Linked DNA regions of Bombyx mori. The protein of the gene in region 2 purifies or fractionates together with the protein of the main gene of each other region. This does not show direct contact. Links are inferred from orthologs where the notes say so. Each region holds a gene or a part of one and is shown on either strand. Other genes may lie near its edges. The genes, in order: ALY, nuclear cap-binding protein subunit 1, regulator of nonsense transcripts 1, THO complex subunit 2 and exportin-1.

The links.
Region 1: the proteins of nuclear cap-binding protein subunit 1 (region 2) and ALY purify together in Homo sapiens (affinity purification with western blotting; 6 studies listed by BioGRID and IntAct, with this or other methods). This does not show direct contact. The link is inferred for Bombyx mori from reciprocal best matches to the Homo sapiens genes NCBP1 and ALYREF.
Region 3: the proteins of nuclear cap-binding protein subunit 1 (region 2) and regulator of nonsense transcripts 1 purify together in Homo sapiens (co-immunoprecipitation; 3 studies listed by BioGRID and IntAct, with this or other methods). This does not show direct contact. The link is inferred for Bombyx mori from reciprocal best matches to the Homo sapiens genes NCBP1 and UPF1.
Region 4: the proteins of nuclear cap-binding protein subunit 1 (region 2) and THO complex subunit 2 purify together in Homo sapiens (affinity purification with western blotting; 3 studies listed by BioGRID and IntAct, with this or other methods). This does not show direct contact. The link is inferred for Bombyx mori from reciprocal best matches to the Homo sapiens genes NCBP1 and THOC2.
Region 5: the proteins of nuclear cap-binding protein subunit 1 (region 2) and exportin-1 purify together in Homo sapiens (affinity purification with western blotting; 3 studies listed by BioGRID and IntAct, with this or other methods). This does not show direct contact. The link is inferred for Bombyx mori from reciprocal best matches to the Homo sapiens genes NCBP1 and XPO1.

Annotation. Positions count from the first base shown.
Region 1 is NC_085114.1:10,511,808-10,516,511, forward strand, and holds ALY, read right to left. Parts: upstream 3,166-4,704; 5' UTR 3,109-3,165; coding exon 2,905-3,108; intron 2,255-2,904; coding exon 2,038-2,254; intron 1,960-2,037; coding exon 1,765-1,959; intron 1,133-1,764; coding exon 984-1,132; 3' UTR 880-983; downstream 1-879. Other genes in the region: replication factor C (activator 1) 5, read left to right, coding at 4,070-4,104, 4,193-4,257, 4,599-4,704. UniProt on the Homo sapiens protein: Functions as an mRNA export adapter; component of the transcription/export (TREX) complex which is thought to couple mRNA transcription, processing and nuclear export, and specifically associates with spliced mRNA and not with unspliced pre-mRNA.
Region 2 is NC_085127.1:11,168,525-11,172,501, reverse strand, and holds part of nuclear cap-binding protein subunit 1, read right to left. Parts: intron 1,355-3,977; coding exon 1,104-1,354; intron 523-1,103; coding exon 279-522; intron 1-278. UniProt on the Homo sapiens protein: Component of the cap-binding complex (CBC), which binds cotranscriptionally to the 5'-cap of pre-mRNAs and is involved in various processes such as pre-mRNA splicing, translation regulation, nonsense-mediated mRNA decay, RNA-mediated gene silencing (RNAi) by microRNAs (miRNAs) and mRNA export.
Region 3 is NC_085127.1:8,613,916-8,618,373, reverse strand, and holds the start of regulator of nonsense transcripts 1, read right to left. Parts: upstream 3,195-4,458; 5' UTR 2,893-3,194; coding exon 2,713-2,892; intron 2,635-2,712; coding exon 2,447-2,634; intron 1,693-2,446; coding exon 1,492-1,692; intron 1,169-1,491; coding exon 1,098-1,168; intron 530-1,097; coding exon 462-529; intron 1-461. UniProt on the Homo sapiens protein: RNA-dependent helicase required for nonsense-mediated decay (NMD) of aberrant mRNAs containing premature stop codons and modulates the expression level of normal mRNAs.
Region 4 is NC_085119.1:9,001,463-9,005,439, forward strand, and holds part of THO complex subunit 2, read left to right. Parts: intron 1-152; coding exon 153-409; intron 410-494; coding exon 495-644; intron 645-938; coding exon 939-1,108; intron 1,109-1,570; coding exon 1,571-1,736; intron 1,737-2,679; coding exon 2,680-2,849; intron 2,850-2,930; coding exon 2,931-3,129; intron 3,130-3,215; coding exon 3,216-3,451; intron 3,452-3,880; coding exon 3,881-3,977. UniProt on the Homo sapiens protein: Component of the THO subcomplex of the TREX complex which is thought to couple mRNA transcription, processing and nuclear export, and which specifically associates with spliced mRNA and not with unspliced pre-mRNA.
Region 5 is NC_085118.1:10,175,273-10,179,914, forward strand, and holds the start of exportin-1, read left to right. Parts: upstream 1-1,751; 5' UTR 1,752-1,911; intron 1,912-2,238; 5' UTR 2,239-2,334; coding exon 2,335-4,642. UniProt on the Homo sapiens protein: Mediates the nuclear export of cellular proteins (cargos) bearing a leucine-rich nuclear export signal (NES) and of RNAs.

The DNA.
Region 1 (4,704 bases), on a different chromosome or scaffold from region 2:
TGCCCCCCCGGGACTGAGCTGTCCACACTCATCGTCCCCCCCCTGCCCTCCTATGGGGACCCATTTCACCAGCCCCGTGGGTGGACCGCTCCCCCCCTTATGGGGAGCCTGGAACGGGTTAGCGCCTTAAATTGGGCCGGTGGCGGGCCCCTCGTTCTACTGACTGTTGTCCCTGTAGTTAGTTTGCAAGGAAAAAAAAGGCAGAGGACAATACGACGCCGGAGGGACCCTGGCGCCGGGCGTCCTCCTTCAACCGGCGCAAGCCCATCGTATTATGTATATATGTCGATGTCATTTGTAGCCGAGCACGTTGCGAACAGCTCTCTCCCCTATAAAGCTCACCCTGCACCCACATCACCCCCGACCTGTGTGGCAGGGAGCTTCTGTCCAAGCAGTGGGGTTTGCCCGAGGCCCGTTCCGTGCCCCTGTAAGGGGGTACGACAACTCCTTTTATAAATGAACTTTGATGTTGCCGTAGCTTTAAATATGACTGTTGATGTGCTGAAATTGAGTGTAATGACCATGAAAATTTTTTGAAAAAGTATTTCTCATTGTTTTTGACAGACTTCCACATTGAACGAATAACATCACCAGTAGCTACGTATAATTTTTAACCTACACAGGTAGTGATGTTTGGAGGTGGAGCAGTGATACGCTTAAGATCTAGGCAGTTTCCAAATCGGCAGATGCCGAATGCAGATGCATTCACTGTAATACAGTTGAATTACGATAACCTCCTTAAAAATGTTTACACTTGTGTACACAACTACAGACTAAAAAGAAATCTATACAAGAAAATTTCAAATCTGGGTTTATTTATCCAATTTAATACATGTACTAGAATTATAATTTCTTTATAATTCGTAGTCTTTTATTAGTATAACCTATACTTTTACAATTAATCTAGAACATTGAGAACACAAAGCTTATTCATTCATATTTTAAGATAAAACTGAGTGTCTATGCACATTCTCATTAGTTATTCACTTGATTTCTTTCACATATGCATCAAGCTCTGCATCTAATTGTTCTGCAGTAGGTACTGGTCGTTTGCCTCTGCCTGCACCACCACGTCCTCTTCTGTTTCCCCCACGTGCTCCACTATTGCTTTGATTTCTAATTCCTCCACCTCCTTCAAAAATAAAATAATTAATGGATTTCTAGTAATTTGTAACTTGCAAACAGTAAAGTGAAAATGTACAACAAGAACTAGTGGGAAAATATCAGTTTTAAAAAAAGTAATTAATTTTAATAATGTTTTTTTAAATGAAGGATTTAGGGCCGGAGGCCTTTCCAGTTACACCACGAATGCTTAGCCAGAAGAGAAGGGTTTGCTAACAGTTGAACACCTCCGAAAGAGGTCTAACACAATTCATGGGCAGCTGCTTTGCAAATGAATCTACTACCAGATCAGTAGTCTGTCTATGGATTAGGTTGCACATCAAACTCTTTAGAGTTCAATGAGTATGGTTAGTGTTAAAGCAGGTGTCTAATGCAAGAGTTATTGGATCTGATGGATCCGTAATTATGTGTCTAGGACATCAACAGTTAGTCTCTGCTGTGGGTAGAAATAGTCAGCGGCAGCAACAATATGGCGATTATCATGACCAATGGCCTTATTGAAGTATCTTTCCGACAATAACTAGGTGTTTCCAGATTGATTCGACTAAGAGGCCATCTTGTATATGGTGATTTGTCACAAATCACAATGATGTAATTTGTTATCACTCCTCCCATACAAACAAATCCTGGAAAATATCTTACCTCTTTTAGGATTGTTTCGTATAGTACCTCCCACACTCGCACCACCAATTCGATTTCTAGCCTCGGGCCTTAAAGTATTGATTTCAGATGTTGCCAATTGTATATTCATTGCCCGTCCATCAAGTGGCACTCCGTTATACTGTTTCATAGCCTTCACAGCATCTGCTTTTCTTTCAAACACAACATCTGCAGTACCTAAAAAAATTTAAAAATATCTTGTATGATGAAATACTTAATGGAACAAACTAAGTTTTTATGCTTTGTGATACATACCTAAAGATCTACCTGACCGATCATAATGTACAGATGCACTTTTGAGGATGCCAAATTCCGAAAATAGTTCCTTTATATCTGAATCTGATACTCCAAAGTCCAAATTGGATACAAGCAGCTTGGTAGGACCAGTTGTTATGGTCCCACTGTTTCTTTGAAGTTTCCTCTCACCAAAATCATTGAACATATCATGTTTCCAAGTGCTGTTCACATCACCCTGAAAAGGTCATCCTTCATAGAGCTAGCCATGTGGCTACTCTCTATGCCTCCTTTGAATATAATAAAAACTCAAAGCTTAGGCACTAAAATTAATACATTGACATCTGAACCACTTGATAAAATAACATTTGATGTAGTTTACATGTTTTTTTTCGAAAATTAAAATATAGAACTGTTTTATCACTTTCATCACACAGACACAAGACTAATAAGTTATGAAGCACAACCAGTCTCAGCCGTCCATGGAGTCCATTTATTTACTTTTCAACTCCTGAAGTCAATTCTATAAATTGGTCAAAACTGCACTGTAGACATCTCCACAAAAGTAACGTTTTGCTCGAATTCATTACACTTTTATATCAGCATCCATCATAGAATTTTCCGGCAGATGTAGGTAAACAATGCAAAACAAAAACGTTGATGGAGATAACAATATGGTTGCTGGGATTATGGTTTCAAGTTGAAAATAGGTCGGATACGAATAAAATAAGGGTCTTGATTTGAATCAAAGTGTCAAATTTCGTCTAAAACTATTTCAACAAGATGGTCCATATGGTTGCTTGACTTTTTGAGAACAAATTAGATACATTGATGCGTCACATTTGCCCGCCATTTGTAATTTTAGAATCATCTAATTATTGGAATTACCCTCGAATAGTTGGTAGATTTCGTTATGCCTCCACGATTTCTACCTCGTTGTACACCACCAGAGCGGTTGCTACGAAATCCAGCACCGCCTCCACGTCCTGTTCTTTTGTTTGCATCAAATTTTCTTCCAGCACCACCTCCAATCCTTGTCTTTTTGTTGGCTTTTATAATATCATCCAGTGCCATTTCAATTTGATCAACCATGGTGATTATTTGAAATTCTAAATATTTTTTCTATGAAAATTAAGTCAAAAACAAAAACAATCCTTTTAGAACTCTTCCTTCCCAAGTAGACGGTGACAAAATGGCCGAAGAAAAGATTCGTTATTGCCAGATTGCTAATATTAGTTCAACAGTAGATTGAAAAAAATTGTTGAGCTTTAAATTTGGTAGAAATTATAGTCAATAAAGACTATCTTACACATCTGTCTTAGTTTATTTTATTTTACATTTACCAGTTGATTTGGTCAAATCTTTCTGTTTAAAAAATTAAGCGCTTAGTTTTAATCTTTAACTAGGTAATCAAATCACGTAATGCTAATGCACTCAAAATTCAAATATTAAGAAGTGTATTATTTATGGTTCGAGATTTTTGGCGCGAGGAGTGAAGTTGTGTGTTTTGTTTTATTTTGTCTATTTAGTGTTTCTCCAAGTTTAAATGTGTAATAACGGTGGTTTATAACCTGTTTAATATCTGTGAAAGTGCACAAATGTGGGAAAATTGAAACAAAGCCGCTGAGCATAACTTTTTGGGATCCTCTAAAAAGTCCACTGAAAAAGTCTCAGTAAATGACTACCATTTTACTGAGATTATATTTCATCCCATATCATCTCATCTCATTTCATTTCATTCCATTTCATTTTCATTTCATTTCATTTCATGTTATGTTTCATATTAATCAACTTCATTTCATTTCATAAATCATTTTACATATAAAAAATATATAAAAGATTACGCTTTATGGTATGATACCTTTGCCTTTCCAATAATATATTAAGTGTATAATCTATGAATAAAACTGCTACTACTATCTATGGTTCGAATTTTGAATTTTATAGTTTCCTCAAGCTTGTAAACCAATCCACAATTTAAATAAATCGTTTTTATTAAAGTATCTGTACTTACATACTAGAAGCGATTTAAAAATACTGTTATAAAAACAATATGACTGTTGGGGAAACAGGCCAAAATTTGCCATGGTATGAACTATCATTAACAATGATTTAAACAAAAAAATCATAACTCAATATATTTTACTACGACGATTAACACTTTGTTTTTACGCAGGGTTGAAAAATATCGCCCAAAAAGATTGGATGATTTAGTATCTCATGATGATATAATAAAAACAAGTAAGTATAAATTTCTGAAACTAATGATCACATTATTTTAAAGAGACTATCAAATTTAAGGCTATAAAAATTGGACTTGAATCAGGTTGATATTAAGTTGCTAACCGTAATACGAATACCTTATAACAGTTAATGCATAAACCCCCTCTTCGTACCAGTATGTTTTGTACATTGTAACATAAAGTAAAGGATTTTTCTTTTTGTTCTTCTAGAGTACTTTGTTTACATCTTAATTGAGGCAGCAGCCTTCCAACCACTACATCCCTATTTTTGTGAGATTAGGTACTAGCCCTAGTACAGTAATATATGTATTTACTGAGATTAGAATATTGTCATTACAGTAAATCAATTTATGAAAGAGAATCAGCTCCCACATCTACTATTCTACGGTCCTCCTGGAACCGGGAAGACATCTACCATTCTAGCCTGTGCCAAACAAATGTACAC
Region 2 (3,977 bases):
GGTGGTACCTACCCGTGCGGACCAGTAATTACGCAAATTATAATTTTGCGGGTATGATTTTTATTACACGATGTTCCTTTCACCGTGGAAGTCAATCGCGAGCATTTGTTGAGTACGTATTTCATTAGAAAAATTGGTACCCGCCTGCGGGATTCGAACACCGTTGCCATCGCTCAACACGAGTGCACTGGACGTCTTATCCTTTGGCCACGACGACTTTAAACCTCTGCTTGCATCTACCGTCATAGATTTTGATTTGTAAAACACAAGCAACTTACTGAGCTTCGACACGTGCTTGTTCATTTTGTCGATGGTCAGATGCAGCATCTCCCAGAGGCAGCCGTGCGTGAAGTAGGGCGCCATCTCCTTCGAGAAGAGCCACGTGGCGACGGCGCTGCACTCGACGATCTGAGTCTTGAGCATCTTGTCGATGAGCACGCAGACCATCTGCGGGTGTCGCTGCCACAGCTCCCACACGTTGCGGAGGATGCATATCTGCGCCTCCTCAGACTCGGCTAAGATCTGTAAAATTTAATAAACGTTTTCAAAATCACGAGTTCAATTTTTTTAATTTTTTTTGCTTAGATGGGTGGACGAGCTCTCAGCCCACCTGATGTTAAGTGGTTACTGGAGCCCGTAGACATCTACAATGTAAATGCCGCCACCCGCCTTAAGACATTAGTTCTAAAGCCTCCGTTTTTACAGTGGTTGCCCCACCCTTCAAACCGTAACACATTACTGCTTCACGGCAGAAATAGGCGGGGTGATGGTACCTACCCGTGCGACTCACAAGAGGTCCTACCACGAGTAATATTCCACTAGTAATATACCACCAGTTCGATTCAGTTTTCGTAAGTTATATCCATGCCACCGGTGACCGAACACTATGGACGAAAGTCACATGTGGTCGCGATCCTCAGCCGTGAGCGAACGATGAAGAAGAAGGTTCCGTGTAGTCAACTTTTATACAATTATCACTTCATAATTTGGATCATATTGGGATATACTATTGGTAAAGGAACGTCTTTATTTTCCGAAATGTGTAACTGTAATACGGATGTAATTCTCGGATAGTGTTTTTTTTCTGTTTAACGCGAACTAACCTTAAAAACGTAATGAAACTTCGAGATCGCAGCGAAACTGTGCGAAATGCTCTTGCTGCCGAGATTCAGCAGGGTCTGCACGAAGACGTCGATTTTCAGGGGGTTGTACGCGGTCGGCTGGTTGGCCGTTTGTTCGCCCTCCTTGAGGGGGTTCGGTAGGTCGCGGAGAACGTTCAAGGCTTCTTCGGGTGTGCACTTGTTACGCACGAATACAACGAGCTGATGGGCGGCTTCGGTGCCGGGTAGAGCAGCTGTTTAAAAAAAAACATTCCTAAATTTAAAAAAAAAACTAAGCACATACTTCTTATACTTAGATACTAGAAAGTACCGACAGGATTATATCTTATCTTATATCTTTAAACGAGAAATTCTTGTATAGTTCTTCAACTAACCATATTTCACATACGTGTTTAAACTACTGCAGATGATCCATCAACAATTAATGTAGATGGTAACAACGTGATAGCTAGAGACCATAGCGAACAATACCACGACTGAGCGGTTGCGTAAAATTACCACACCTCCGTTCCGAAGCAATGGTAACGATCATGAGAATATTTCGTTCATTCACTAAAACTTCGATATAAATCTTTCTTTCTTATCTTTAATATGTTTCTTTCTTATCTTTCGTATTTTTAATACGGTTTGTTTTCGAATAGACCATCACGGTATTCATATTGCACTAGACAGATGGAGGTACCTATACTGAGACCCTTAGAACTTATATCTCAAGGTGGGTGGCGCATTTACGTTGTAGATGTCTATGGGCTCCAGTAACCACTTAAGACCAGGTGGGCTGTGAGCTCGTCCACCCATCTAAGCAATAAAAAAAAGAAAAGGTAGTTAACGAGGTGAATAACCTAGCGTTTGGTGATAGACAGAAACAACTTAAGTCAAAGTTGAAGCCTCAATGGTTTACAGTAAATTAAAATAATTAACTCGTTCAAGTAGGAGGCGCTTAAGGAGACGAATAACATAGCCTTTGGTGATAGACGGAGACAACTTGAGACATAAAATTGAAGCTTCCATGGTTTACAGTAAATTAAAATAAAATTAACTCGTTCCAGTAAGCAAGCTTACGCGTTACATCTATCTTTTGTTTTAGATTTGGTAAAATATAAATGAAGCCAGAACACAATCTGGTGACAATAACACGCAATGAAACCTAATCTAAAATGGGCGGCCGCATGTTTGATCCTCTGTATTGAGGGAATCAGATGGGCGCCCATCAACTACCTTCATTTTACATTGCGGGTACAAAAATAATATGAACTTATTACAAATATACATTTTATATGGTGGTAATGAATTCCAAGAAAGAAAAATAATCGAATAGTGTCGACATTCAATAAACAGTGACACATCACGATAAATTGTTTTATTAATTACATTTTCTCTTTTCTATTGATGATATATTTTTTAAAGCTTTGATAGGAATAACTACTAAACGAAAGCGAAATTAAAATCGGTTATAATATATTATATCGAATCTAAAATATACATTAAGCTCTTTTTTACAACGATTTTTGTAATAACGCAAACAAACTACATATTTACTTTTTGTAGATAAAACAATATTCAAATTTACACAAGAATATTTATGTAAATAATTTAAAAAAAAAATTAGGATATTAAACGCGAATTAGCAATTCATTGGGGCATATATGCATAAAATTTATACTCCTACTTACTATTTTCGATTCTCAAGATTCTACTGCCGCGAAAATTACGAATATAAAGCGGAGAAAAATCCAAGAGATGGAAAGTGCGCACGCGACGAGCTAGAAATTTCACCGGCAAACGCGTGCTTATTACAATGTATACTTTCTTTATACGACAACATACCGTCCAAACAGAATCGTAAATTAAATAATGAATTTCAAAATTGCACACGATTCAATTAAACTAAAAACAGCATAACTCAGTAGTTGTAAAATACTTTTAAGCTTTAATCTCGTAAAAAATATATATTTTGCGGTAAACGTACACTCTTGGAAAATGTACACTTTTACCGGTAAATGTGCACATTTGCCAAAAAGTTAGGTATATGTGAACTGAATATAATGTAGATATATGTACATTTGCATATTGCTGCAAATGTGGACATTTACCGGAAAATGTGTACATTTGCCGCAATATCTATTTTTAGCGTAACATATACATTTTAAAATTTCGATCGATCTTCTAAAGTTTTCATGTTTGTGAAAATTGAATCATCATTATGATTTTTAAATAAAAAATTTATTGCACTACGTAGTTGAACGAGCTTATGGGTTCAGCAATGCGATTGCCGGAGCCCATAAACTTCACAAAACCCCGCCTTTTTTTTAAACACATCGAATTCAGAAATAGACCGTGTGATGATTAGCTCGATATTAATATGTGGCGAGTAGCTATCATACTACACAAGATATTTGACAGATGCCTGAATCTCGCTTACGGCATTTTCAAGATAAGCTTACCTACATATATACAAGTTGCGAACAACAACATTTTAATAACACTGAACGTATTATTAATTAGGCCAGGACCGCTTAAAATTTTCATAATGTCCACAACTCGCGAAAATTTTTGATGACTATTTAGAGATTCTTTGTCGCTGTCGTGAAAATCGTTGAGGAGCTAACGATGATTAAGCAATTAACGCGTTACATAACTTTCTTTTAGAGCTAAGTTTAGAGCAACAACGGTGTCTTCTTACTTGTCATTCTATATTTAAATGTACTTAAAATCGAACTCTGCATTCAATGAATTTATGTTAAAATTTAAATTTCGTAGAATCAAAAACTAGCCCCAAAAATAAACACAAAAATCGATCGATTAATTTTAAATGTAACCACATTGTCTTGAAAAAATCGTGAATTTAGAATTTCA
Region 3 (4,458 bases), about 2.6 Mb from region 2:
TTAACAAATTGTAATTTGCTAATGTTTATAATAAAATTTTAAATATATTATAGCTTATTAGGGATACAAAATATTTCCTTCTGCAAAAAAAGAAGTTTGGAAAACAGAATTTGATGTTGTCAATGCAATAATTAGGAATAAGCCCTGGATAAGCCATATGAGCAGAAATAAAAAAGAGCATGTGCAAACAGAAAAGATTGCACATTATTAATAGAAAGATTATTGCTAATTTTTGGCAGACTGCAGCTGAAAATTTCAATTACTTAAAACTATTAAACATAATTTTTTTCTTCAAAACAGTTTTAAAACTCTTGTTTTGTCTCCCAATACTATTTATATGTATAAAACTATATTTTATTATACATCATATTATTATATGTATTGTTTTGTTTATAAAAAGGTATAAATAAGTAAATTAATTAATATTTCTATAAATGTCTAATTTGTATATAAAAATTTACTTGTCTAGCTCGCATTTGTTCTGTTTCTGATGGCACTTTCACCAACCAAGACAGGAAGGCACGATCAGCTGTAATTATAATGAATATTGTCGGTTAATATTTAAAAGCTATCTATCTATTTTTATGTCATATACTAAAACATTTTATGTTCTTAATAGGTTTTAAAATTGGTCAAGATGAAGTTACATAAAGAAATTTTACATTGAAAGTCTTTCTATTCATCTATTTGTTAAGTCTTAAGAGTATGATTAAAAGACAGCTCGTGATGATGTGGTATAATGACAATAATGCATAATGACTTGAATTGTGGGATAAGAATACTGGTTAGAGTAATTTCTTATCTGAGATCATTTTTAGACTTTGAAATGGAGTTTTCGACTTCATATCTCAAGGTAAGTAGTGTCAATATTGATACTGTTGTAACTACTAACATCATGTGGGCTGTAATATATTTTATATATAAATCTACATCATCATTTACAAGTCTTTCCAGGTCAACTTCAGGATGCTATGTTCATGATCACTATTTATCAGGTTTAGATATAAAACTTGTTATGTATAAACACATAAATAAATGTAAGCTTATCAGTACTACAAATCATTTGATTTTTTATGTTTTAAAAGATATAAACATACATATCAGAGGTTTCCACTGTTCCTGATCCCAGTTCATATCCTTCAAAGAGCTTTGAGCTGCACAAGGTTGTCTGAAAATTCAATTCTTGATATTAAATGTAGCGGGCAGTCGATAATTATCTAATTTATCTTGGTTTCAATTGTTTTATAGTTTTTTTTTCTCTGAGCACTGAGATAATTCTTCTTATTTGTACACTCTTGACAGAGTGGTCGTGGTCAGTGGATCAGTCGGATCCTGCAATACCGATGCTCTCGCGATGCGACACCATGTGGCGCAGTGTTTCACAGAGTGAGAGCAATCGTTTATGTTGGAGTGAGTCACAGATTTTATGACTGAGATAATAGCATATTACATATTAATGAGTGATTATTAAGTTTAAAAAAAATATCATACCGGCAAAGTAGCACAACAACAGAATCAGCTTTAGCTGGTATAAAGCCGAGTACGAATACATTCCGAGCACCACATGAGTAACATTCCAGAAGGGTTTCGCCAAGTGGCCCGTCACGGTGCAATGCAGCTTCCTTGTGCTTTGCACGTACTAAATGGTTGATGATATGAGAGCCTGAAGTGTTACCGCGGCCATTACAGAACCTGGAAAATATTATTCTTAAGGAATCAGAGTATATTCAATAAATTGTGTATAACATAATCTTCACTGCAATTTCTTTCAGACATTTAATTTTATTAAAATTTTCTTAATTTTTAAGTCATAAAGTACTAATTCTTTATAATCTTTATATTTCCAATTGCTCAGTAGTATGCAAGTGTTTTGTTTTATCTATCTCTAAAGTGTATCCGATCTATGATGTAGCATAGCTGTATTATATACTTCAATATCTAAATTTTGTAATTCAAGTAGGTCATTTTCAATGAGTTATAACATTACTACTTGAATCCAGTAAATTTTTCCCCTGATTTATTCCTCTACTCAGTTGATAATTACCAATGTAGGGCATGCTCAAAGAAGATGTAGGAACAGAATCTAAAGCAAATTCATTGTAACAAAGGCAACTTATTAATCTGCAATCTACATTCCAATAACTGTGTAAAGTTACAAAGATCTAACTAATTTTAAGTTGTTTCCAGGGCCCATGGATAACAGAACCATGTCTGTTTTGAGAGACACAAAAGACATGCCTGTTTTGAGAGGCCACAGTTCTATTTGAGTTGCTATTACTTTCCTAACATTCTAATTTCATTAGACAGATAATCATGAAAGATGTAACAACCCATGTTGATAAAATAAACCAATACTTAAAATAGTTAGGAAGCAGAGGTCAGTTTCATGTATATTGTAAAAAAACGTCTATAAATACTACATTTTTGGGATTATGATACTACTTACCACTTGTTGCATATGTTACACATAACGACTGTGGCCGGGTCGTGTATGCCACAGTATTTACAAGCATGATCTGGAAGTTCCTTGTTGCTGTACAAAGCCTCATCTTCCTCTTCGAATTGCAGCTCCGGTATCGTATTAGTCACGTTAGAGATTTTAGACGACAATTCTATACGTCCTATTCCGTTAACCTACAACGTGATAAATGTCAATAGTTACTGATCTTTCTGTGAGTTGAAGTGATGTGTCTTCGGTGGTGTTCTACATACCTGGTTGGATGAAGACAACCCATGGTCATGTTGTGAAGCCTGTGTCTGGCTCTGAGAGGGTAATGTAAAATCCGTGAACTCAAACTCAGAGCCTTGAGTGTCTGCTCCAATAAAGTCCCCTTCCTCTGTTTCCAGAAACGTGAGCGATTGCGAGCTTGGGTCGAATGCTTCAACACTCATTTTTAATGACGAATTTAAACAAACAAAATTAATCCAAAAGAAAATATATAGAACGACTATTGGCTGATATTTCCATAGCAGTCACGCAGTTATTCAAACGACACACAAATCGTGACGAAAATTCGACATGTTAACACATGGTTTGTTTCCGTATAAAGTTTTATATAAATTGTCTGTTATTCTATTTGTCAATTAATAATTTCAAAGTTTTGTACCAATCAAATCTTTGAGTGCAGTTTAGCTGTCTGTTTTTTAACCAATTAAAGTACAGAAAAACAAACTATTCCAAGTGAGAAAATTTAAGTACAGATAAAATATATTTACAACTCAAAGCTGTCACTTACTATTGCCACAAGACGCAACACTGGGCAATAGAGGCCAGGTCACAAGTACTACTTAATTGAGAAATATGACCGGATAAACTTAAATATACTTTTTTCTCTTCACTGTACCGATTTTCTCACTACAAAATAATCTAAATGACGCGAATGGACCTGGACTAACGGGCAAGATTGTTGTTGCGAGAGCGTTGCCAGCTGGGTTCAAATGCTGCGAAAAGTAAGAATTTTAGCTAGTTATTCATGTGTTCATAATGACAGCGTTATTAAATGAATGCCTTTAAAAATTTTTTCGGGTAAAAAAATTAAAATTTCCAAATATTCGTCAATACATAGATTACAATAATGGAAACTAGATATCTTATGAAACAATCAAGTGTTTGGAATTCATGATGAATCGGAGTGGGATAGTCGTTGTATCACACAATTGAAACCTCATATCCGGCGTACACCAGTTTGGGCACCGTTGATATAGTAAATTTAGTATTTTTTCATTAAATTTTTTTAGTTTATGAGTTTCTTAGGATCTATGTCGGAAAATTAAACAATATCGTTTTAGTTTTCATTTTCATTCAAAAAGACAAGTGAATTCACAATAAATTCCCACCATTTTACTGAGAGGCTACTGTATTTAATCTCATCTAAGATTTGAAGTGTTGTGATGTGTTGATGAGGTGTGTGGTGTGTTGAGGTGTGTGGTGAATTTGAGGTTGATTCATTTACCCTATTTAATTCCATTCCGTAATCAATTTCATTTCATTTTTTAAACAACAGATTTAGTTCAGTCAAAAGCTTTGCTGTATAGGCTATGCTCCCTTTGCTTGTCAAGTAGACGATTCAAATCAAACATTACATATCCTCACATTCCCGCCAAAAGTCAAAAGTACCGTAGTGTGTTGAATTAGTCTAGACCTTCATGTGAATGATCATCAAAAGATGTATTTAAATATTTGTACTATAAATTTGTTATTAAGATTAACAAAATTATTTATTCAACCATCTTAACAACGGGACGAGGAGATAACTTCATAGCTTGATAGATGGCGCTTTAACTGTGTATCAATGTCGCGCCACGAATGCAGAATATTTAGTATCGTTTTAAATTTTTTTTTTTTTTCGCGAGATGTTTTCGAGAAATTCCTTATTTAATTTTCAAACTTGGAGCTATGACTTGACTTTATACTAAGAATATGTAGTAATCTAGTATGTTTTAGGAATATCACCTGCG
Region 4 (3,977 bases), on a different chromosome or scaffold from region 2:
ATCTGATTTATTGAGATGGGCAGCAGCACAATTCATATTGTGGTGTCTATTGGTTTGAGTAACAGTGCCAGCCAGTGGGGCTATGATAACAAATCTAAATCAAATGTAATGAATAACATGTTTATTTCATTTTTAAACACAATTTATTTCAGGTTGTTTTAATTTGGATCCAAACAGGGTACTTGACATAATTCTAGAATCGTTTGAAGCCCGACCACAATTAGATGCTCTTTTTATACCGCTTATTAAGAGTTACATGGCAGATCCTCATGTAATTTCTGAGGTTTTAGGTTTCAAACTGAGTAATATGGAAATTCTTGATAACTATACAGAACCTCCACCGTTGATGACTGTAATTGCATTGCTTTTACAACATCAGGTTATATCATTAGATGACATCTATCCATGGGTGAGTACAATAATTCTATGAATATATAAAATTAAAGTATGTTAGCAATATTAATGAAAAATGTTTCTTACTATTTTGTTGGTAGCTTCGCCCAGATGATGTGATAATAGCTAAACAAGCTGATAAAGAAATAAAAGCAGTTCAAGAATATATAAGAAAAATTAACATTGTGTCTACCAAAGGACCACAAACAAATGCCCCCACTGAATTTATAGAAGATAAAGCTGATCCGCAGGTAACTAGTAAAATATTGTGTAGTAACGTAGTAGTTAACTAGTAATTAATATGAATATGTGATATTTTAGATATTTGAAAAATGGCCAAAAGGCAAACAATTCAATGTTTCATAAATTTTAGTAATTTTGATGGATTCTTTATTCCTAATTACTTAACACTGGGATCCAGGCTCGATTCCCATTTTTGTCTGTTCATTGTTATATTCTTGTGTTGTATTTTTCTGGAACCTCAAGCACAGTATCTATTAGGCTTTTGAATGTGGAATGCTTGAATAGTTTATTTATTTATTTAGGAATATTGGAGCAATCAAAAGCTAGTGTTATGTGAAACTTTATTGAGAGTCAATGCGTGGCGAGAGTTTGCCTCACTGTTTGCGCGTCTTCCCACTACTACGATGCCGCCAAGACCAGCAATAGCCCTTTGTGGGTTGCTGCATGCTGTTGTAGAACCATTGTATCGAAAGTAAGTCTTACCTTTGAATTCAATAAGGTTGTCTTAAAGGATGTATTTACTGGTGGTAGGACTTCTTGTGAGACCGCGCGGGTGGGTACCACCGCCCTGCCTATTTCTGCCGTGAAGCAGTAATGCGTTTCGGTTTGAAGGGTGGGGCAGCCGTTGTAACTATACTGAGACCTTAGAACTTATATCTCAAGGTGGGTGGCGCATTTACGTTGTGGATGTCTATGGGCTCCAGTAACCACTTAACACCAGGTGGGCTGTGAGCTCGTCCAACCATCTAAGCAATAAAAAAAAATATGTATAAATTCAATGTAATAAACTGTTATTTTAGTAATGAATGATTTATTAGAGATTACTACAATGAATATAATGTACAGCTTTACCATGAATCTTTTCTATATTTTATAAGAGAGTTTTCTAAAAAAATTTACAATTATTTCTTTCAATAAATAATTAAATTTTTAGGCAATGCCGAGTAGCTTCAAAAATACTCGGAAAACCAGTACCTCCACTTAAATCAAATTTAGCACCACCTAATTGTAAAACATTCGAAGACATGAAAGAAACAGTTATACCAGCCCTTATATTGCTTGGTCCAGCCCTTCATCATGACCCTGTCTTGATGTACAAAGTAAGTTTTATTTTATTTTATTGCCCTTATAGGCAGACTTCAGAAATAATTTGTAAAATTATTTTAAGAAATTAATCGATATGGGATCCGACTATATGGAAGGACTTCTTTTTCATCTGCCAGTACTCTCGAGGGGCTATTCTGGCTTCACCTTGGTTAGTGAGCTCCCTCACAGTGTTCATGTACATTGTGAAAGAATTTTCTAACGCTAATCCTAGCAGAAGCAGTGCTTTGTCAAATATAACACCGATAGGAATCACGAACCACTGAGAAGATCCGATGAGAAACTCATTACTTATCATTGTTGATGTAAATAAATGAAGAGAGATTGTCGTACTATTTTTTTGTCTTATTTTCTTAATCTATATTTATTAAGTTCAAGTTATTTTAACTATGAATTCGTCTATGTTCAATTTGTTTGAAATTTAGTGTTAATGATAGTAAAATTCTTTCAACAATTGATATCTATAGGTGTCTAATTTCCATCAGTTTTAAGGATCTTATTGGTTTGTTTGTAGGCGCCAATAGACAAAGTAATATACTTTTTAATCCGACTCCATAAAATCTATATCCTTTACCTACATAACCACTGTCTGGAGACAAATAAAAGCAAATTGGGTTGAAGCTTGGAATAAGCTATCTAATAAGAGACAATGCGTTAATATGCGTTAAATAGTTATAATAACACTGTCGGAAGGCGAGTGCGATCGTGTACAAATCATAGTGTATAAATGCACGACAATGCGCGGTAGCCGTCTGAGAACAAATTATCACTTTAAAAAGTCACACAACAAATAGATTATCATTGGGAAACTAAGTAAGGAAAGGATTATCCATTTAGCATCTGATAGGTTTTAATTGCACCATTTGAAAATTCTAAAAGGAGATTCATCACCATTTATTGAGTTTACGCTCACCCACTCAATTTTGATTTTTTTATTAGGTCATTAGAATACTTAGAACTGCTCGCGGTCAAAAAGATGATCCGTTACATTTTGAGGCACTAACCGTTTTGGATACCGCAATATTACCGGCTCTTACACTGATGGAAGGGAATTGTTGTATGGCTGAAGAGGTGTACACATTACTTAAGTTATATCCATATCAGTGCAGGTAAAGAATAATTAATAACTAATAAAATATGCTAAATTACATAAATCTTGATGTTTATTTTATTTTGCAAACTTATTTAAGATACTGTCTCTATGCGCGTTGGAAAAATGAGGCTGGCGAACGAATACCTGCTCTCATTCGTGTCCGGGGGAACTCATTGCAGAAAATAAAACACATAATGAAACGAGTATCCAAAGAGAATATCAAGCCCCAAGGTCGTCTCATCGGGAAACTGTCGCACGCCGCCCCGGCCTTTCTGTTTGATTACGTGCTCTTGCAGGTAATTGGCATTCAGTCCATAAAACAGTTTTACTTCTTCCTTTAATGTTTTATGAATGTGCTATAAAACAATAATTTCTGTTCCAGATACAAACATACGACAATCTGATAGGACCAGTAGTAGAATCCATGAAATATTTGACGTCTCTATCTTTAGATGTTCTGGGATACTGTTTAGTTGAGGCTTTAGGCTCTCGACGTTCGACGCCACCTGCGTGGCTACAAGCACTAGCCTCGTTCGCCGGGGCAGCCTTCAAGAAACACAATATTGAGTTAACTGCTCTTTTGCAGTTTGTTGCTAATCGACTCAAAGCTCAACAGAGGTATGCATTCGGTTACAAAGTATTGTTAGGCGCTGGTGTTCGGAATAAATAAAACTTCCACCGAAGTACAAATTCAAATTCTATTTAACACTTAAAACACTTACACTTCAGGTAATCCGTTCGCCGTTTCGCTTCGAGTAGATTCGGTTACTAATTAATTCTGGGTCATCTCTGCAATGCTTTTATAGTAGATACCACATCCCTAGAATTTTGTTATCGAGAACATACCTGACAAGTCGAGTAGTTTCAATATGTGCTATAATATGTGCTATTTGACTATAGATAGCGTTGTACTTCTTGAGCGTTCTCGATTTTATAAGTTCTTTTAATATTCGTTTCTGCTATTCGACGATAGATGGCGATGCTCTTACCGGCGTAACAGTATGAACAACGAAGATTCGCAATGTAATAAAAATCATATATTTTCAGTCAAGACCTGATAGTATTAAAAGAAATAGTACAAAAAATGGCCGGTATAGAAGCTGCTGAGGAAATGACACCCGAGCAGTTAGAGGCTATGGCAGGA
Region 5 (4,642 bases), on a different chromosome or scaffold from region 2:
GCGATCAACGACCATGATTTTAGTTTTGAATCTGTTGATGGCAAGTCCCATCTCCAACCCTATGTGCTCCAGCCTGTTCAAAAGCTCTGTCATCTCTGCTTCTGTTGTGGCAAGTAGTGTTGTGTCATCTGCGTAGCACATGTTCGTCATTAGTTCTGCTAAGGTCTCTCAATTTGTCCATGAACATCTCCAACTAGGTACTGATATCATTGTTTTTTCATTTTACATTCTAATTTGATTGTAGAATATACTTATAATAGGAATAAATGCTAAACAGGATCATATGTAATATAACAGTTTGATTTTCAAATTAGCTTGCGTGTTTTTGTTTTCTACCTATGCTGATATCCTTGAGAGGCTATTTCAGCTTCTCCTTGTAGTTTAGCTCACGAGGCTCAAACCGGTAGTGTTGCCAACACTGGCCCTAGCAAGTTGAGTGATGGTATTTACTATCTTCTATGAGTTTTATTATAAATTAATCTTTCGAACGGTCATGTAAAGGTTGGGTACTTAAAAATTACAAAAATAATTCAGTCGCTACTGAATTCAGTAGCAAGGATGGTTTCTGACTGACTAAATCATTTAGAAGCCTAATTAGAAATGCATCTAGGAAGGTGTAATCGCATTTAGTTACTTAATGGTTTCAGTCGTCCCATAGCTCTCCGTGCGTAAGAACGTTTTAGTTTGTTTTTTGCTTCCGAATAAAAAGTATTGATTTCGGTCGCCTTTATTTAATGTGCCAGACATTTATAAATAGCCCGACATGTTTCAGGAATAGTTTTTGTCATAAAGGGTTGGGATATTGAAAAACTAAATTTTAAATCTTGATACGTATTTCCTGTTGCAAGAAATCTTCATGTTACAACCAATCTTTCTTTTGGACTTATAATATCGTAGGATTAGATATGTAATAGTTATAAAATAGATATATAATAGACTATCGTAGGATAATATCCTGCTTTTGAATAAACGGTGTCACAAGTTTTAATATTAGGTCAAACGAGATCGAATCCATTTATAGATAATTTCTGAAGTCTGCTGGTTCTAAATCACTCTAATGTTCATATTTGCTAACATTCCGCACAGCAATAAATATTTCTTTACCGATATTCTTGTTTTTTTTTTGAGAAATTGAAATAAAAAATAAAAACAAAAAATTTGTTGTTGTCTAGACAATACTGGGGCCATCCTCTTACGCACACGACACGTCTTACTTCGTCGCGCTTAAACTGACAATTGATTCAGTAACTGAATTTAAAACAGTTTAATCAGAAGCTTCTAAATTTGCTTCTGAAGTCAGTCGACTAAATTCAGCCAAGTGTAATAAGCCTTTAATCACAAAATACCATAGATAAAAAATACCATAGATACCAAAAACTAAAAAAAATAGTTTATTTTTCACAACTTACAATGGCAACATAAAAATTATATAAAAAATATTAGCATACAGCCTAGCAAGTGAGATAAAAAGAAGTAATATCTCAATAACTTGTGGTTAAATGTAATTGTAGTTGGTGTTGGTTGGTGTAAATTTGCTGAAACTTAACGGACTTGAACAAATGAGATGGGAAGCTACACTGACTTAACTTGACTTACAACTTAACTTCACTTAACTTAAAAAGTCCATATTTCTGTTTTTGAACCCAAATTAGCAATAGAATGAAGTGAATAAGTTTTTCTTATTAATTAGCTTTTAATTTTAAATTTGCAGAAGATTTCTCCACTAAATTTTAAAAGAAATCACATTGAGTAAACTGTAGTCAATGCAATGCAACGTTCAACAGGAGTTCCGCACTAGTATTTTCTATGACCATAGACTAAATGTGTAAGCTTTTTCAAGCTTCATGAAAACAACGGATTAGTATGTATGGTAGTGCGTTAGATTGATTGCGCCGCAAATTATTTTCTCGGGTAAGTGATTCACTTTTTAAGTTATTGAAAAATTACAATTCTAACGAGTATCCCTACACTTAGTACACGTTTTGTGATTAGTGTAATGAATGTACTTGTAGTAAAATCTGCAACAAGATTGCGGGGTGTGTGCTCTATTTAGTGGTTTTAAACAATTAATGATGTAATTGCCCAGTTTGTAGTTAAATGCTTAACCGAATTATAGTATTAAAAGTAGTTTTTACTAGCATAATTGTTAAGTCGGTGTTTGTTAAACAAACAAACAATTAGGATATGGAGGTTAGAGTCAGTAGAGTCTGTTAACACAGAGTTTTGTTTCATTTTCAGTGTTGTATAAGGTGAGGAATGAATGTGGATTAATCAAAATAATTTTGATTTTGGAAAAAAGGGAACAAATTAACTAAATAAATATATTTTACCAGAATGGCAACCTTAGAACAACAGGCATCTAAACTTTTGGATTTCAATCAAAAATTGGACATCAATTTATTGGACAACATTGTTGGCTGTTTATATTCTGCTGTTGGGGATCAACAACGTGTTGCTCAGGATATACTGACTGCTTTGAAGGAACATCCTGATGCTTGGACTCGTGTTGATACAATACTTGAATATTCTCAAAATCAAGAAACTAAATATTATGCATTACAAATATTAGAACAAGTAATACTAACGAGATGGAAAATATTACCAAGAAATCAGTGTGAGGGTATAAAAAAATATATAGTTGGCCTTATCATTAAAAATTCATCAGATCCTGTTACGATGGAAAGCAACAAAGTTTATTTGAAAAAACTAAACATGATCCTTATTCAAGTTCTGAAAAGAGAATGGCCCCATAATTGGGAAACTTTTATCAGTGACATTGTGGGTGCCTCAAAGACGAATGAAAGTCTCTGTCAAAACAATATGGAAATATTCAAGTTGTTGAGTGAAGAAGTATTTATGTTTAGTACAGGCCAGCTCACACAAACAAAAGCTAAGCATCTAAAAGATACAATGTGTTCAGAATTCAGTCAAATCTTTCAGCTATGCCAATTTGTCTTGGAAAATTCACAAAATGCACCTTTAGTTGGAGTGACCTTAGACACTCTTTTGAGATTTTTAAATTGGATTCCACTTGGTTATATTTTCGAAATGAAATTGATAAGCACATTGATATTTAAGTTTCTGAACGTGCCGATGTTTAGGAATGTAACATTGAGCTGTCTTACTGAAATTGCCGGTGTCACAGTCAGCAATTATGATCAGCAGTTTGTTTATTTGTTTGTACAAACTATGGAACAACTTGAAGTTATGCTTCCTCTAACTACAAACATACGTGAAGCATATGTAGCTGGTCGAGATCAGGAACAAGTTTTTATTCAAAATCTTGCACTTTTCTTATGCACATATCTAAAAGAGCATGGTCCGCTCATAGAAAAGAGTGGATTAACAAACACTTTAATGAATGGTTTGAGGTATCTTGTCTTAATATCAGAGGTAGAAGATGTAGAAATTTTCAAAATTTGTCTTGAATATTGGAATGCTCTTGCTGCTGATTTGTACAAAATTGCGCCATGTTCGTCAAACTTGTACCATTTGGGTAAAAGTGGAGGCCGAAAAGCTTTGTATGCTGATGTCTTGAGCAGTGTTCGGTATATTATGATCTCGAGAATGGCAAAACCAGAAGAGGTGTTAGTTGTTGAAAATGAAAATGGTGAAGTTGTGAGAGAATTTATGAAGGACACAGACTCCATTAATTTGTATAAAAATATGAGAGAAACATTAGTTTACTTGACACATTTAGACTATTTAGATACTGAACGTATTATGACAGAGAAATTACAAAATCAAGTAAATGGTACTGAGTGGTCATGGAAGAACTTGAACACATTATGTTGGGCAATTGGATCTATTTCTGGAGCTCTATCTGAGGATGATGAAAAGAGATTTTTGGTTATTGTGATTAAAGAGCTTCTAGGTCTCTGTGAACAGAAAAAGGGAAAAGATAACAAAGCTATAATTGCTAGTAACATAATGTATGTCGTAGGACAATACCCACGCTTTCTTCGTGCACATTGGAAATTTTTAAAAACCGTTGTCAATAAACTTTTTGAATTCATGCATGAAACACATGATGGTGTCCAAGACATGGCGTGTGATACATTCATAAAAATTGCTATAAAATGCCGTCGACATTTTGTCACTACTCAAGTTGGAGAAGCCTGTCCTTTTATTGAAGAAATATTGGGCACCATTAGTACTATAATTTGTGATTTACAAACATTGCAAGTTCACACTTTTTATGAAGCTGTTGGATACATGATCAGTGCCCAAGTAGATCAAGTAGCCCAAGAACTTTTAATTGAAAAATACATGCTTCTGCCTAATCAAGTTTGGGATGATATTATATCTCAAGCTTCTCGTAATGTTGAAATCTTGAAAGACCCTGAAGCTGTTAAACAACTTGTAAGTATACTGAAAACAAATGTGCGTGCATGTCGTGCACTAGCACACCCATATGTTGTGCAATTAGGAAGGATATACCTTGACATGCTTAATGTTTACAAAGTAATGTCTGAAAATATAAGTCAAGCCATAGCTTTAAATGGCGTAGCAGTTACTAAACAACCTCTCATTAAGAATATGAGAATAATAAAAAAGGAAACTTTGAACCTTATTTCAAGTTGGGTTACACGCTCGATTGATAACAGTATGGTTTTGGAAAACTTTATTCCACCTCTTCTCG